Linked DNA regions of Neodiprion lecontei. The protein of the gene in region 2 purifies or fractionates together with the protein of the main gene of each other region. This does not show direct contact. Links are inferred from orthologs where the notes say so. Each region holds a gene or a part of one and is shown on either strand. Other genes may lie near its edges.

What was found.
Region 1: the proteins of hsp70-binding protein 1 (region 2) and erythroid differentiation-related factor 1 purify together in Homo sapiens (affinity purification with mass spectrometry; 3 studies listed by BioGRID and IntAct, counting the BioPlex papers as one, with this or other methods). This does not show direct contact. The link is inferred for Neodiprion lecontei from reciprocal best matches to the Homo sapiens genes HSPBP1 and EDRF1.

What each region holds. Positions count from the first base shown.
Region 1 is NC_060265.1:27,243,735-27,252,667, reverse strand, and holds erythroid differentiation-related factor 1, read right to left. Parts: upstream 6,301-8,933; 5' UTR 5,983-6,300; coding exon 5,950-5,982; exon of another isoform or gene 5,917-5,949; intron 5,670-5,916; coding exon 4,634-5,669; intron 4,535-4,633; coding exon 4,115-4,534; intron 4,010-4,114; coding exon 3,227-4,009; intron 3,107-3,226; coding exon 2,930-3,106; intron 2,854-2,929; coding exon 2,486-2,853; intron 2,357-2,485; coding exon 2,038-2,356; intron 1,947-2,037; coding exon 1,643-1,946; intron 1,531-1,642; coding exon 1,362-1,530; 3' UTR 616-1,361; downstream 1-615. Other genes in the region: charged multivesicular body protein 7, read left to right, coding at 6,680-6,966, 7,057-7,741, 7,854-7,958, 8,101-8,326, 8,420-8,487. UniProt on the Homo sapiens protein: Transcription factor involved in erythroid differentiation. Involved in transcriptional activation of the globin gene.
Region 2 is NC_060263.1:34,405,390-34,410,855, reverse strand, and holds hsp70-binding protein 1, read right to left. Parts: upstream 3,176-5,466; 5' UTR 2,971-3,175; coding exon 2,927-2,970; intron 2,613-2,926; coding exon 2,375-2,612; intron 2,266-2,374; coding exon 1,863-2,265; intron 1,631-1,862; coding exon 1,390-1,630; intron 1,295-1,389; coding exon 1,084-1,294; 3' UTR 972-1,083; downstream 1-971. Other genes in the region: peroxisomal biogenesis factor 19, read right to left, coding at 286-349; DNA-directed RNA polymerase II subunit RPB9, read right to left, coding at 3,626-3,815, 3,894-3,967, 4,117-4,245; uncharacterized protein LOC107222673, read left to right, coding at 4,604-4,686, 4,766-5,010, 5,097-5,323. UniProt on the Homo sapiens protein: Inhibits HSPA1A chaperone activity by changing the conformation of the ATP-binding domain of HSPA1A and interfering with ATP binding. Interferes with ubiquitination mediated by STUB1 and inhibits chaperone-assisted degradation of immature CFTR.

The DNA of each region.
Region 1 (8,933 bases), on a different chromosome or scaffold from region 2:
AAATTTTTGGGATGCTTTTAGAGATTAGCCGCAGTCTTTGAATTTGGCCCGGAAGATTTCTCCAAAGTTCAAAGTCCAAACATCTGCGTAAATTTAATTAGGGTTAATGATATTCGAAGTGACGATTGGCATTCGGAAAGATTAGCAAAATTTCTCACCCTTCCGGGCGCCTTTTTACCCAACGAAAGTTTCACGTCGTGATGGAATGGAAATTTTCGAATGTCTGATACTGCCATATTCCAGTATAAAATACGTTATTCAAATAAAGTCGAATTTAATTGCAAAACTCGTTTGTCGTCGAGGTTTTTACTTCATATTCAAACAATGCGTCAAAATGAAGACTGAACAATTTGTACGAAATTTTTCACGCCTTGATGTTCATCTAATCTAAACTTGAAACTGTGATCCGGTTCACTGTTCATAGCACTGAATTACTCGCTCATATTACAAAAATTATCGTTAAAGATCATTCGTAACGTATAAAGATTATTGTAATTTGATTATCACCGTAGAGGTGATTACAATAAAAGGATTTAGGATTTGATTGGTTATCATTTTTTTTTTTTTTTTCGTTACTTCTCTTTTTTATTATATAAATAAACTTTACTCGTTAAAACATTTATATAATACGTTTATTATGTACACGTTAAAAAAGTAAATATCGACTTTTACTCCGGCGAATATCGAGTAAGATTTCCTTAACGTCGAGCCTAATTATAGCAATACCCAAGAGACGTAGTGAGGATAAATCCGGTCACCAGCGGACAACCCTTCGGTATTATTCTGCTTAACATCTACGATCATATCACGTTGCGAAAGCGAAACAAATGACTCAGCTCACGGATTAGGAATAATCAGATACAACATCGCACAACAAGCGCTCAGTGGTTACTCTTCACCGGGCAGTTCACGGACGGCTAATAATGAATGTCTGATGAAAATACTTTTTTTGAAAATTTCAACACTAGACGCAAACAACCTCAGAAAAACAATAATAACAATAAAACAAAAAAGCAGTTCAATAACGATATACCATAAATATACACTGGTCCTCATGCATTTCTCAACGTCCATTACTATCACAAGTTATCGAATCTTTTCTCAAGTACAAGACGACTTTCTCTCTGAAAGCAATCGCTAACTTTATAGACACAAAGTGTTGATGAAAGAACCATTTCGACATGTATTATTGAACGGTCAATATACGAGACGATTTGACAAAACTTGACCGAGTTCTTGAATTATCTCAGTCATTTAAACACAACGATTTCACCGAATTTTCTAAAATTACCTTCAAGTGCAACCATTTTTCAGTAAAGAAGAAACTAGATATCCCATTTCAACTATGGACATACCTCGGATTATAGTCTAGAATTTGAGCCGCTGTGTTGTACTTCAGATCCGCTACTGCACTCTTGTAGGGTTTTCAGAAGATCTTTCATATGCTCGACGAGGGCGTAATTAGACAAACTTCTTGGTCTCAACGTTTTACTGTAGCAGCTTTTATACAGAGCAGCAAGGTCTTCGCATCTGTAATAAGATGGAAATTCGATACCGCATGTTAACATAGTTTCACAATGACTTACTTATGTCAATTGTGTTTATACAGTCATTATACGCAAGAAAATCTCGCTCTGCTTACTCTTTTTTTTTCCCACCGGGATTTTTGGCAATGCAAAGCTTGGCGAGAGACCGAAGCAAAAATTGCAACCTCTGTTCTAGAAGAACAACAAGCTTTTCATCTTCTTCCGTCAGTTTTTCGTCGTCAGTTTTCTCTGTGACTACAGATTTTTTTTCATTTTTATCATCACAGACTTCAGACATGTCTGGTTGAAATTTAACGCCCTTGTTTCTCTCGTGTAAAATTTCAAGGATGGGTCTACATTGCAGTATTAAATCCACCCCACTCTGATAGAATTTCAATTTACTGTTAAACGTTGTTGAGCCTGAAATATGAAGCAACAGGTTTATATTCAAACTGCTTAGAATCTATTGTAGCTGATGGTGCGTTATTTCATCTTAGACTTGCTTACGCACATTGTGCCTGAAATTCCACCAAAGCAACGCGCTCCATCTGTACAGTAAGAAACTCCGTAGTTTGTTCCAAAGACAGTAACAACTTTGCTGCTTTTTCATAGTACAGCTTGCAAAGTTGTAAAGTTGTTTTTCTCTTGTTCGCATCGACGTCTGCATCCATTTCTCTGTACACACGATGGTAAAAGGAAGCGAGTCGATGCTGAATATTCGCAGCTCTGAATTGATAGACAGGTTGCCTTGGACCCGGTGTCTCTGTGTCACAATGTTTCAAAGCTTTTTGAAGAACCTCAACTACCTCTCTTTCGAGTTCTTCTTTGCTCTGGAATATTCGAATGAATACAAATTTAAAGAATCACAATTAACTGTGACAGAATAAAACAGCAAATTCCGTGTATGATTGCAAAAAACTTTTTTTATTAGGAAATTTTTTGAACTTTCACATACCAACCTTATTTTCAGAAGTTGGATAGTCCTGTAACAACGAAGCCATTGTGTATAACGTTGTTGATAATTCCCAGGTGACTGTGTCCCAGATAACGGTGTTAGATTTGCGAGTTCCCAAAACTTGCAACGCTTTTTGATAGCTGATAAGTGCTTTGTTGTAAAAATACCTCTCTTGCGTTTGTTGTTTCATGTGAATGTGAGCGCAAAGACGCATGAGTCGCCCTGAATTCGAATGTAATAGAGCTAGATTTGCTTCATCGTGCACTGCTTCAAATGTCTTTACACCAGCCTCCAAGTGTGTCAAAGATTGATTAAGCAGCGTTGCAACATCCGTGGTTGTATCATCTGTACTTTCTTCTTGCTGATGGCAAGCTAAAACAAGTGTACATTAAAACAGATGACTAAAAATACACCTTATCATAGACGGTAAATCTGAAATATCGCATACCAGCTTGATTCATGTACAGAACACCCAACTCATTGTGGATGTTTCCCAAACGTCTTAACAAATTATTTTTATCATTTTCCAGAGGCGCCAGTGAAAGTGCTTTTTCATAGCATTTGTAAGAAGCCTCTAACATTACCTCGAGACTGTCCAAGGTTTGAGGCAACAGCTCGACACCGTCTGCAAATAATCATTTACATGGATATTAGTTTTCAATGAGTACAAAGTCAAGGAAGCGAGCGTTCATGGGGGAATAAAACTACTTAATATACTTCATCTCTATACTTGCTTATAACTCACCTGATTTTATATTTTTGACATGGTATATTTCATCGAGAATTTTTGGGTCAATGTTCTTTAGCTCATACTCGTTTCTGTGCTTATCAATGTTATTCCAGTCTTGAACAATCATAAAACAGCTGTCGCCAGCTCTTCCCAGTAGGTAGCTGATCAGTTTATCGTTCTTAATGTGACAGAACGTTTCCATGATTTCCTGGCACCCCAGAACTGCTAATATGTATCTCAACGACGCTCCGTAATTGTTTCTAGAATATTCGTTTTCTGCCAGTACAGTAAAGATTAAAGACGTTTTCTCATATAACAGGGTCTTAAGATGTGCATTCCAGTTAAGATTGTCGCTCGCTTTTGGGGCCTGCCAAGTTGGCAATGTTTCCACTGTAGATTTACACAGCAAAGCCTTCGGTGTGGCGTCCTGAACTGTTGGTTTTGACACGGTTCTGTCTCCCTTCTTGTTTTTCTTTGATTTTCCTTTGTTCTTTGGACTCATTTCTACATTCGACGATGTGTCATCCGAGGTCTGCTTCAAAGGCACATATGGCATAGGAATAGCCTGGAAAGGTTTCGCCATTCTTGGATGCTCTTCCTCTAATTCTTGCCCGTTTTGTCCACATGCTTCTTCGTCTTTTCTTTGCTCGTCGTCAGAGGAATGTTCAGTTGGAAAATACTCCAAGCATTCAAGTCCATTTTTAACGTGCTCCAACGCAGCTTTACACCTCTCTTCAACCGTGCCACATAATGGTGGCGGTTTATACTTCAGCTCCTCATTCTCTCGATATCCTTTCACTGAAATCAAGTTGAAAAACAGTCAGAAGTGCGTGAAAACTAAATGCATAGAAAAAAATTCTGCCAATAATTTAGAACTTTTTCAATCAAATAAATAATGCTTACTGGGAGCTAGGCTCAACGATTTGATGGCCACGCTAACTTCCTCATCAAAGTTGTCTATATTACTTTCTGCCTCTTGATTAGCACTGTAATCGCTTTGAGCATCTTCTTCGTCACTTTGATCCATTAAGCCAGGGCTGGCAGGATCTGTATCAGCCGGAATATATAGATCCGAAAGCATGTAGTGTGCCGAAGTAACAATTTGGGGATATTTTTTCTTTGACAGCAGCTCCACACAGTTTTTCAACAGCATTCTAATGGTTCCCTGCTGCCTGCGATAGTCAGACGAATATTTCATATTCCTAGCGACACGGTAGAGTAACATAGCTACTGGTACAGTGAATGGATTTTGTCCTTTTTCATCGGAGAAATCGGTACAGAGCGAAGTTAAGTCATATAATTTGACAACATCATCATCCTTGCCTTGAATGGAAAAAATATTCATTATGATTCCTATTTTCAATAATGTACAAAACTATCATAATGATCATAATAACATAAAAGATTATAAGAATGCTTTACCTTTGAACAGCCAATAAGTGTGCCCAGCTTTTGTTGCATTACTTTTTAGAAAGCTTAGTATATTTTGGGCTACATCTCTAATGACTTTAGGGCTGAATTTGGAATTGTCTAAATTGGGTAGATCCTCCGTTTTGATCAGCTCATACTTCTGGACGATTCCGTCGAGATGGTAGCACATAACAACTTCTGGTACGTTACACATAAGGTTGTCCAACCAATAATCGATTCCAGTTAAAACATTAATCGGCTTGGCCATATCCCTCAGTCTCAAGCTGATGCAGGGATGAGTCTGTCCACCGAATATCGGCATGTCTGTCCCAATCAGCATTTGGATATTTTCAAAAGTCCAAACAACATTTCTAGCAAAATTATGACTGTGATTTGGATCGGGTAATTTCTCTTCTCGTGTCGGCTCAGGTAGCTGTGGTTCTAGAGGCTCAACGGGCAGCTTCGGTTTCTCGCTTTGCTTCGTATTGTCGGCAACAACCAGAGAATGATAAAGAAACTTGGAGACAAGATTTTTTTGCTGCAACGTATTCCTGCTGTTCGTTTTATGAAACAGTCTCTTTTCTTTACCCCCGACGCTATTATACACATGTCCGTAGATAAATTTCTTAAGCCATTCCCAATCACTCTCAGCCTGGCGAAGCAGATACTTATGAATGTCAAAGTCATCAATCAGTAGAGTATTTTCAACTCTATGCACCATCATGGAAACTAATGCCTGACTGTAAGGTAATTTAAGGAGTTTCTTAATATTCTCTGCATCTGAAACAACATCCACTTCCCCAACGCAATCAGGAAACATGTGAGCCATTCGAAAGCTAGAAAATCCCGTATTGTGAGACCAAACGCTTTGAAGACCATAACTTTGCGCCGAAGTACTGAGCCAGTTACTCGGTGGTAGATTCAAATCTGTGTTACATTGCAGTGTAGCATAAGAGGCTGGCGCTGCTACCGCAGAATACTTGACAACAGCCGTTGACTTGACTGGCTTCTTGGGCGAGTCTGGAGACATTCTGTCACCTGTCTCTTCCTGAAAAAGGAGTATCACTTATACTACAAACAACGAAACAGATTATTCTTAAGCTTTGAACAAAACAAAATCGGCCGTCTTTGGCGAAAAGGATGTCTGGGTTTAAATTTTATTCAATTCTCTCCACCGGTTTTTCAACAAATTCCATTGGCTCGAAGACATAATCGAATGTTTTTCCGTTACTTCTGTTGATAACATTGGACATTCGTACGTACTAGATAGAGTATTGTTTTCATATTGATCTAACCTATTGTTTTGTAGCAAAGCAACTTGTTCTCACCTCTTCGAGGACGGTGTTCTCTTTACTAGACATTCTAATCGTTTTTATACCGTGGAATACCGTCACCGGTCACGACTGTATCTTCCAAACATAACTTTTAACGAACATAAACATCACGACACAACCATCACGCACAATGTTTCGTCGCCGATTGCCGAATGTTACCGAATGTCGGATTAACGGTTACTGTTAGGGGGTTCTGGAAACTACTAGCAAAATTGAGGTTATGTTACACGCACCACTGAAATGTATGTATAGAACTACATTTCAGTGGTACGCACCCCTGTGTAGATGCGTACTTGCGCATGCGCTGTAGACTAACTGACTTGACACAGATGATGATGGGTGGCTTGAGCGTAACGTCACTGACTGAATGCGCAAGCTTGTATGAAAATCGCTTATCCATCCGTCGAGCACAATCCGAGCACACGTGACTTCTCTGGACCAACCGACGTGATTCTGGCTAATTTTTTCACCTCATTGTCTGTATAAGCGTTCGAACGTGTTGTGGAAAAATTGCGCTTCAGTCTATTCAGTTCTAATGTTTAAACAGACAACGTTGTTAAGCACATCACACTTGCGCAAAGTTACTCAATTCTATACTCGACTCCTGCTTGGCTAATTTCGAAGTTGCAATTTAACTGTCAAATCATGTTTTAAAAACCAACCTCACATAAACAAGAGACTCTGTCAAATATTTTGAAAGCCTGTTTTTACAAGGTGAAATAAAATGCAGGCGCAACAGGATCTCAATGAGAGTCTACCCTTGCCGGCTGAGGAAATGCCTGAATGCTGGGAGAGGGATGATCGTATGAACTCCCTGTTTGCACAGTTTCGAAACCGCTCTGCTAATCCACAGGACTGGGACTCGAAGTATAGATTTTGGCGTGGTTTGATAGCAGATTGGTCAAAATACAGGAAGCGTTGCAGTTTCTCTCTATCCGATCTGAACAAGGCCTTCAAGCGTAACGGTAGATCCCCCGCCTGCTTGTCGATTGTCCTTCAGGAATTGCACAGGTGAAAGACACACTAGGATGTGCATAAGAATTTAATCATGATTACAAAAACTCGTCCGAATCGTTACTCTACTTTTCCTAATTCTTTCAGAAATGGTGAGATTGTTCCAATGTTGAATTTCATTCGCGAATCCCCCAATTCTTGGGGAGGGTGGGCGGTTGATACTCTTGTAAAACGACCGTTGTTCTGGTCATTTTCTGTGCTAAAAAACAGCATAGTAGAGACATCGGTAGATCCAGAGACCAGATATGTCCATTTAGAGACAGTCAAGGAATTAGGAGAGCTGATTCTCTCGACAATTAAGAAAAATGAAGAGAATACTCTTTTTTCTATGTCGGACATAACGAAAAATTGCATAGAGAAGGTGGATATAAAGAAAGGTAGTTTGTCTGATGATGATGTGAAACTTGCTATGATATGGTTGCGTCTCAACAAGAAAGCTGCATTTCATCTTAGTCCTGAACGAGACAGTAACGATACGCTAGTCAAGTTGTCAAACACCCATGTTAAAGAAGTAACAGAGGCTGAGGAAGGTTTATACCAATTGGAAAAGCAAGAAGAAACCTTGATCAAAAACTTGGAGTTATTGGAAATGGAAAAGGAAACCGTTATCAAGAATGCAAAAGCATATTTGGCCAATGGAATGCGACAAGTTGCCAAAAGTTGTCTAAGAAAAAAAAAAGAGCTTGAGAAAAGCATCGAAAAACGCGCAGCTGCAATTCAAAACATACAAATTATCATCACTAGGGTTCGCGACATGCGTTCTGACTCTGAGGTGAACAGATATTGATTTTTTCATCAATGACAATGCGACAGGAATGCAACCAAATATAACAGAACTTCTGTAAAATGTAATATGGGTCAATAAAATTATCGTTGTTTTACAGGTACTTAATTCCTACAAAGCAGGAGCTGCCGCCTTGAAGCAAAAATTGGCAGAAGATGGCCTTAACGAAGACAATGTTGCCGATACCATGAACGATCTTTCAGAGGTGAGCTGCACTGTATTTTTTTCTATCTTTAGTCCCAACTTCTGCAATTATATTTATGGAAAAATAATACGAAGCTCTTCAAAATCAACAGAACATTTCTGCATTCATCCTAATCCAAGTCTTTGTACGGATTAAATCTTAGGTACTGGAAGAATTTAGCGAGATGCAATCAGTTCTAACTAAACCAGTCGACTACTACGATTCCGATCTTGAAGACGAGTTAACCGAGCTGCTCGCGGAATCAGAACATGATGACTCAATCAACAATCCTGAAAATAATTCTGGTAAATCACAAAGTAACTCCAATGTGAACGGTGATAAGAAACAGCCAAACATTGATAAAGAATTCTCATCCCTGCGTCTGGAAGGTAATATTTTTAAATGCAATTTGCCATTTACACAAGCCCTCTGAATTATGATTTGTTTTTCTTCTATCCCCACTCACCGGTTTTTTGTTCTAGACCTTCCGCCGCCCCCAACAAAATACTCACCGTCTATTAAGTCCCCCGTACCTTCCGGGGGCGAGTAAGTTGATGTGTCATGTAAGTAGCGTTGTTGTAAAATTGTAAGTTATTTTATTTATGACGACGTTTTGTGTGTACGTATATTAATCATTGTCAATTTGTTACTCAGATGAAAATCTATTTTTTATCACAAGAGGTTTCAAGCTGGTTATTCCTGTAATTTCAAGTCTTATTTCAATATACGCTTTTATGTACATATACATATATTTTCACCAACACCGTACCTCCAGTTATTCTCTGATCAAACTGTAATAATCGTCATCTTCCTCTCATTCACTTTTCAGATTTCTAGTTCGCATATCTTGTTCAAGAAGAAACAAAAAACAAGTTTCCATTACCGCACAGAAACAAACGTCTTCCGAAAATTTTCTCTCTCACAACCTTGCATTACAAATCGATCCGTAAAGTAGAACTAACGACGACTATTCTCACATGAATAATTTTCTCCCAA
Region 2 (5,466 bases):
GTCAATTTCTAACATTACATAACAGTAAAATTATTGAAAAAGGAAGACTGTATAAAATAAAATTTTGATCTATTATCTGGTGGCCAGAAATTTCATTGGAAGGTTATAAATAATCTTGACTTCATAATTATCGCTAAATAATGAAAATAACAGCTATAGACGCTGTTCGTTTCAGTGGTTATAGGTTATGTTTGTGCATAATAATTTTTCATCACCAAGTCGTTGCTGATTTTTGCAAACGGAGATTACGCCGTAAATGAAAATGTAATTTGCGTCAGTACTCACTATCCAATAAGTCGTTTAATTCCGCATCTGCAGGTTCTCCAGATTTTTTCTTATCCTCAGACATTGTCGAGTTGCTTCCCGCTACGTCACGCGCGAACAATTAAATAAATCCCAAGCCTAAAGACCTCGCGCGCTTCTGCTTAGTGTATTACAAAAATTAAATTCCAGCGGCCGAATCACAACTTTCTTTGCGACGCGTGGCGTACCAATGCCGCGTATCAGCACAAAGTTCAACCCATATAACCAGATGAAAAATTTTTTCGCAACTTAATTAACTTATTTTCCTTGCCTTCCTTATTTTTTATACAGATTCGAGTAAGATTTAATGAAACTTTTAATGATCGCTTTGGTCACGTATACCTACGTAGTTTTACTTGAATTGCATTATTCGGATCACGAATAACGGAATATTCGATAGGTATCGTCGTTCACAAAAAATTATCAACCTATCGCATAACGGATACATTCATTAGTCACTAATTGCCTCCAGACGCGAATGTGCACGTGCAACGGTGTATTAAGGGCAGACGGACTTATCGATTGAATGATTGATTGCAACAACGCTCTGTTGGCAATATCAGGATTTTATCTGTATAAAGTACTTGCACATATTCAACAAATTATTTGTTCATATACATAGTGGTAATCTGTATTAGCGTACAGTTATAAACGTCAAGTTACTCGAATAAGGGAAAAAAATAAATATTTATGTTTATTGTACATATTTTGTGTTACAATTGAACAAGAATTACAACTCTGTTAGGCAGATCATCGATCTGGCTGCACGCAAGAGATCGGCTATCTCTCCTGATTTGTCTCATGATCTGAAAATATTTGATCTAAAAGCTGAGCACACATGTCAGCTTCGTCGAAACTTTCTTCTGCCCTTAGTTCACGTTGATGACGTTCTAGAGTCTGCCTCAGGCAAAGTTGCGGCCTTCTGCATTCCTTCAATGCTGGCAAGTAGTTATTTTTGGCCAATCCAGCTAGTACCCTCAATAGCTGGTCCCTTGAGTTATTTACAAAAAGAAGAATCCATATATATTAATTCCGTTAGCAGTTCGGACAGAAATATTTTGTAAGTGAAGTAACGGAATTTAGTACCTTGTATCTGGATGAAGACCTTGCATTGCCAGCAAACCAGCCGCTTGTTCGATCAAACCCATATTAACAAGAGTTGTCTTTAAATTATGGGGATTGCCATCTTTGCTACATAAAGATGATAACAGGAAGGCAGATTTTATCTGCAGTTTTTCTATTGGACTTTGCAATGCCCTTAGCAGAACTGAATAGCCATCATTGACATTCAGGTGAGTCAATGATACTGGGTTCTCCCTCACCAGACCTAAATGATGAAACATCGTGATAGCAACATAAACTCAGTTAATTGATTACATACTCTGAACTTATTCTTCCAATTTATTCTTCAGCAAGAATGAGGCAGGGCAACTTTTAAAATCAAATATTAGTAAATCTGTCTGTATCGGTGATCATGGTAGATATAAATTCTCTCGAATCGTTTCTGATTAGTTTATGAATACAGAATGATGACATATTATGTAAAAATGTGGACTTACAAGAAACTGCATATAAGGCCTTAATTCTGGTCTGTTCTGAGGGGTCTGTGTCTACCATATGCAGTAATGTCGGCATCAAACCAAACTCCAAGACCTTTTCTTGACAGTATGGATTATTTTGCGTCAACTCAGCGATAATGTCAGCTGCCCTCCATCTGTGACTGCTGTACTTAGAATTAAGGCAGGGTTCGAATATCGCGAAGCCTCCAATTTTGTAAAAGTCATTTGCAGTGTCCATGTTGTCGACATAATTTGCGATCACATCCAGTGCATTATCGTATTGGGAAGGTTCATTCTCAAGCTGGAGTTCGCTTGCACTGGACAACACTTTTATCGACTTTTGAAGTTCCTCTATCACATTTACAGTCATAGAAGACAACGCTTGATTCAAGAACGCTTGTCGCTATACAGAGAAAAGAAAATATAAGCTTATTTTCCTTAATTGATGAAAAAATAGAATTAATTTCAAAACAAGCCGGACTTCATTTGCCACTGAATAGTTTTTTCCATACCTCCTGATCCAGCGGTTGGAACTGCGAAGACTGTGAAGCATTCTCCTCTTGCCTAGCTTCCATGGCAAATCGAAGCAGCCCTTGTAGATTGGATGGCTGCCTTGGTTGAGTTGGCATCGATTGCGGATGCGATTGTCGCGAATCATTCTGAGCCCTGACTGTTTGGATGCTCAATGGCCTGGAGTTGCTTGCGTTATTTTCACTTCCCATGCTGCTGTTTGACCTTGACGTATTATTGCTGAATACAAGGATATTGATTTATTAACTGATATTGTACCTGGCGCGGTATTTATTGTCATTTGTTTCATTATATCAAAGTCTAATAGGCGGTTTCACTGATGTGGTGAATCGAATCAAAATTTCCAGCCCGTGTCAAATTTATGTCTTACATAGCGTAGATTTCTACATCGAATTTTCCTTCTATTTATAGGTTATAAATGAAAGTCTGTCACTTTCAACGCAACACAGGACTTGAAGGATTACAGACAGATTTTCTGTACAAGAATCTCCGAATAACGTATCCGATGTCAATTTGTCTATGCATATACATACCTGTTCATGTTTTTATTCGTATTCTTTGTAAACGATGAACCCATTAATTGATTTGAACGAATATGAAGACAGCATCAGCTTGTAGATAATCACAGTGACTCATACCTTCGCGATCCAAGTGTAGAGATACGACTAAACAAGCACCTCACGATTAATTTTTTTTGTGTATCCCTCGTGTATTTGCTTCGAGATTGAGCTCTAGAAAAGGAGACGTTTCTAGCAAGAGTTGAGCTTACGACGTATGTACATTCGTGTATGACAGCGTGAATGTATGCAGTGCATTTGTGTAGTACATTCTCACTCGCCGTCCCCTCGAGGCCGCGCGTTGGCGTAGGACAAAAAAAAGAAGTTAACGATCAGTTTTTTTCTGATTGAAAATATCGTGGATCTTTCAGCAGTGCAAGGTTGGGACTTTCAAATTCCAAAAAAAAATTAAATCGCAGTAGATTACTGTAAATATTATGTTTAAATGATGAAATAAATTATTTTCTTTTAAAAAAAATTTATTGCAAATATAGTTTATTCAATGTCTTGCAATAAAAGGTGAAGCTTTTCTCATTAACTTACTTATATACCTTAATTATCTCACCTTAAGTTAAGACTAATTGAAATGAGATGTCATCTAGAGAACTATAACAGGACCAGAAGTATATGTACATTAAAATCTAAATTTTGTTTGCATACAGAATGTGTTAAAATTTATTCTGTCCATCTGTGTGAACAGTGCTGATTTGTACAGACGTAATAAAGTCTCATTTCCTCCTCAGCTCGTCTGGTTTGTGCTTGGAAGAATACAGATTCTCGGTGATTGCATTTTGGACAGGGGTGCTCCTCAGTTCTTGGCAGTGTCGGATCTGATATAACGTCGGCGACGATGTGGGTCAGTTCGCTGTACAGAGTAGATAAACATGTCCATTAGTTACACGTTATGTTATGATTGTTAAAAATCAAGCAAAATAATTCTTACTCAATTTCGTGCATAATTTTATTCACGTAAATGCAGTTGCTGTCGGCTAGCTGCTTGAAGTCGCAATTTCTGCACTGTAATTGGAAAACAACACGTTAAGTCAGTAAATATTAAATTATTTTGTTTAGTAAATCAATCACGGATATTATTTACGAATTCTTACTTAAATTTCTCGGTCGAAACAACCCAACTTGACAAGCAACGACGAATAAATTCTACTTACCGCGTACATCAACACTTTGTTCTCTTTGTCCTCCTTAGGATACAACATGTTATTACATTCTTGGCAAAATCTAATGCCCACAAAACCTGGGCCATCGTCGTGCGTGTCGTATCCAGTTATTTTAGACATTTTCAATAAGAAATTAAGACGACAAAATACTCAGCTTTCACCACTTTGACGTTTCAATCGTGACGGTACGCTACCCTTGCCTAACCTAACATAATGTTCTAACCTAAAAACAGGGACGCTTTGGAATCAGCCGTTCGGTTCTCGTTACTTCGCGGAGCAAAATAGAGATAGAGTTAGCATCGCCCAACATTTGCTCAACAATTATTTCGAATTCGTTCGTTACTGAATACTGGACGTGTCATGAAAATGACAAAACGCGACGTAAAGTATAAAGAATTTCGATGATGTGTCGTAGATGCGAAAGAGTAGTGCTGTCTTTCGCGAATAAATCTTCATCAATCTAAATCCATCGATAAAAATGAGTAAACTCGAGGACAGTTTTACATGGACACACCGATTGGGATGTCCACCGTCGATTTGCAACGAATCTACAAAACAAACGTGAGTTTGGATCAATACCGATTTCTGATTTGCAGTACAATGGTTAAACTCATTTACCTGTTCGTATTAATTCAATTAGATTATCAAAGGGAATCGTCGGCTTGCTATGGGATCACATCGCCGACAATCTACATCCCACATCGGAAGTCTTGGAAGCAAGGAAAAATATCTTACTGCATAAACTGAGAGAAAATGCAGAAGATAGTGTGATTGAAATAATTAAAAAAACCTCTAAGATAAGAGCGGAAAGAAACGATTTGAGACAGCGAATTCGTGCTGCTGAAGAAGAGCGAGAAACACAGGAATTCTTACTTCGTAAAAAACGTAAGTGGATCGCATTCTTGATACTCTTAATTTCCTTGGACAAAATTCTATTGACCCAAAAGTAAAATCTTATAATCATTCCAAAGGGCAAGAACTTCTCAAGATACAGGCAACTCGTCAATCCGTACAAGCAAAGAAAGAACTTTTCTCCATAAAGTATGATCAGATGCAATCGCAGGTTCAAGATTGTAATCAAATGCGCCAAGTTTGTAAATGTCTGTTGCCGTCCAGTGGTGATCAGGTCGACCTAATAATAATAGAGGAATCTTTGACCTTAGTCAGTTCTATGCTCTCAGGCACGGATAAGAAAAAGGTATGAACAATATTCTTTAATTGTTTATATTTTAATTAATTATTTTTCTACGGTTTGAAGGATTATACCATGTATCTCATTTATCAGATACATGCTCCATGGCTTTGAATTTTAAACCTTGAACCATTATTATTAGTTGTAAT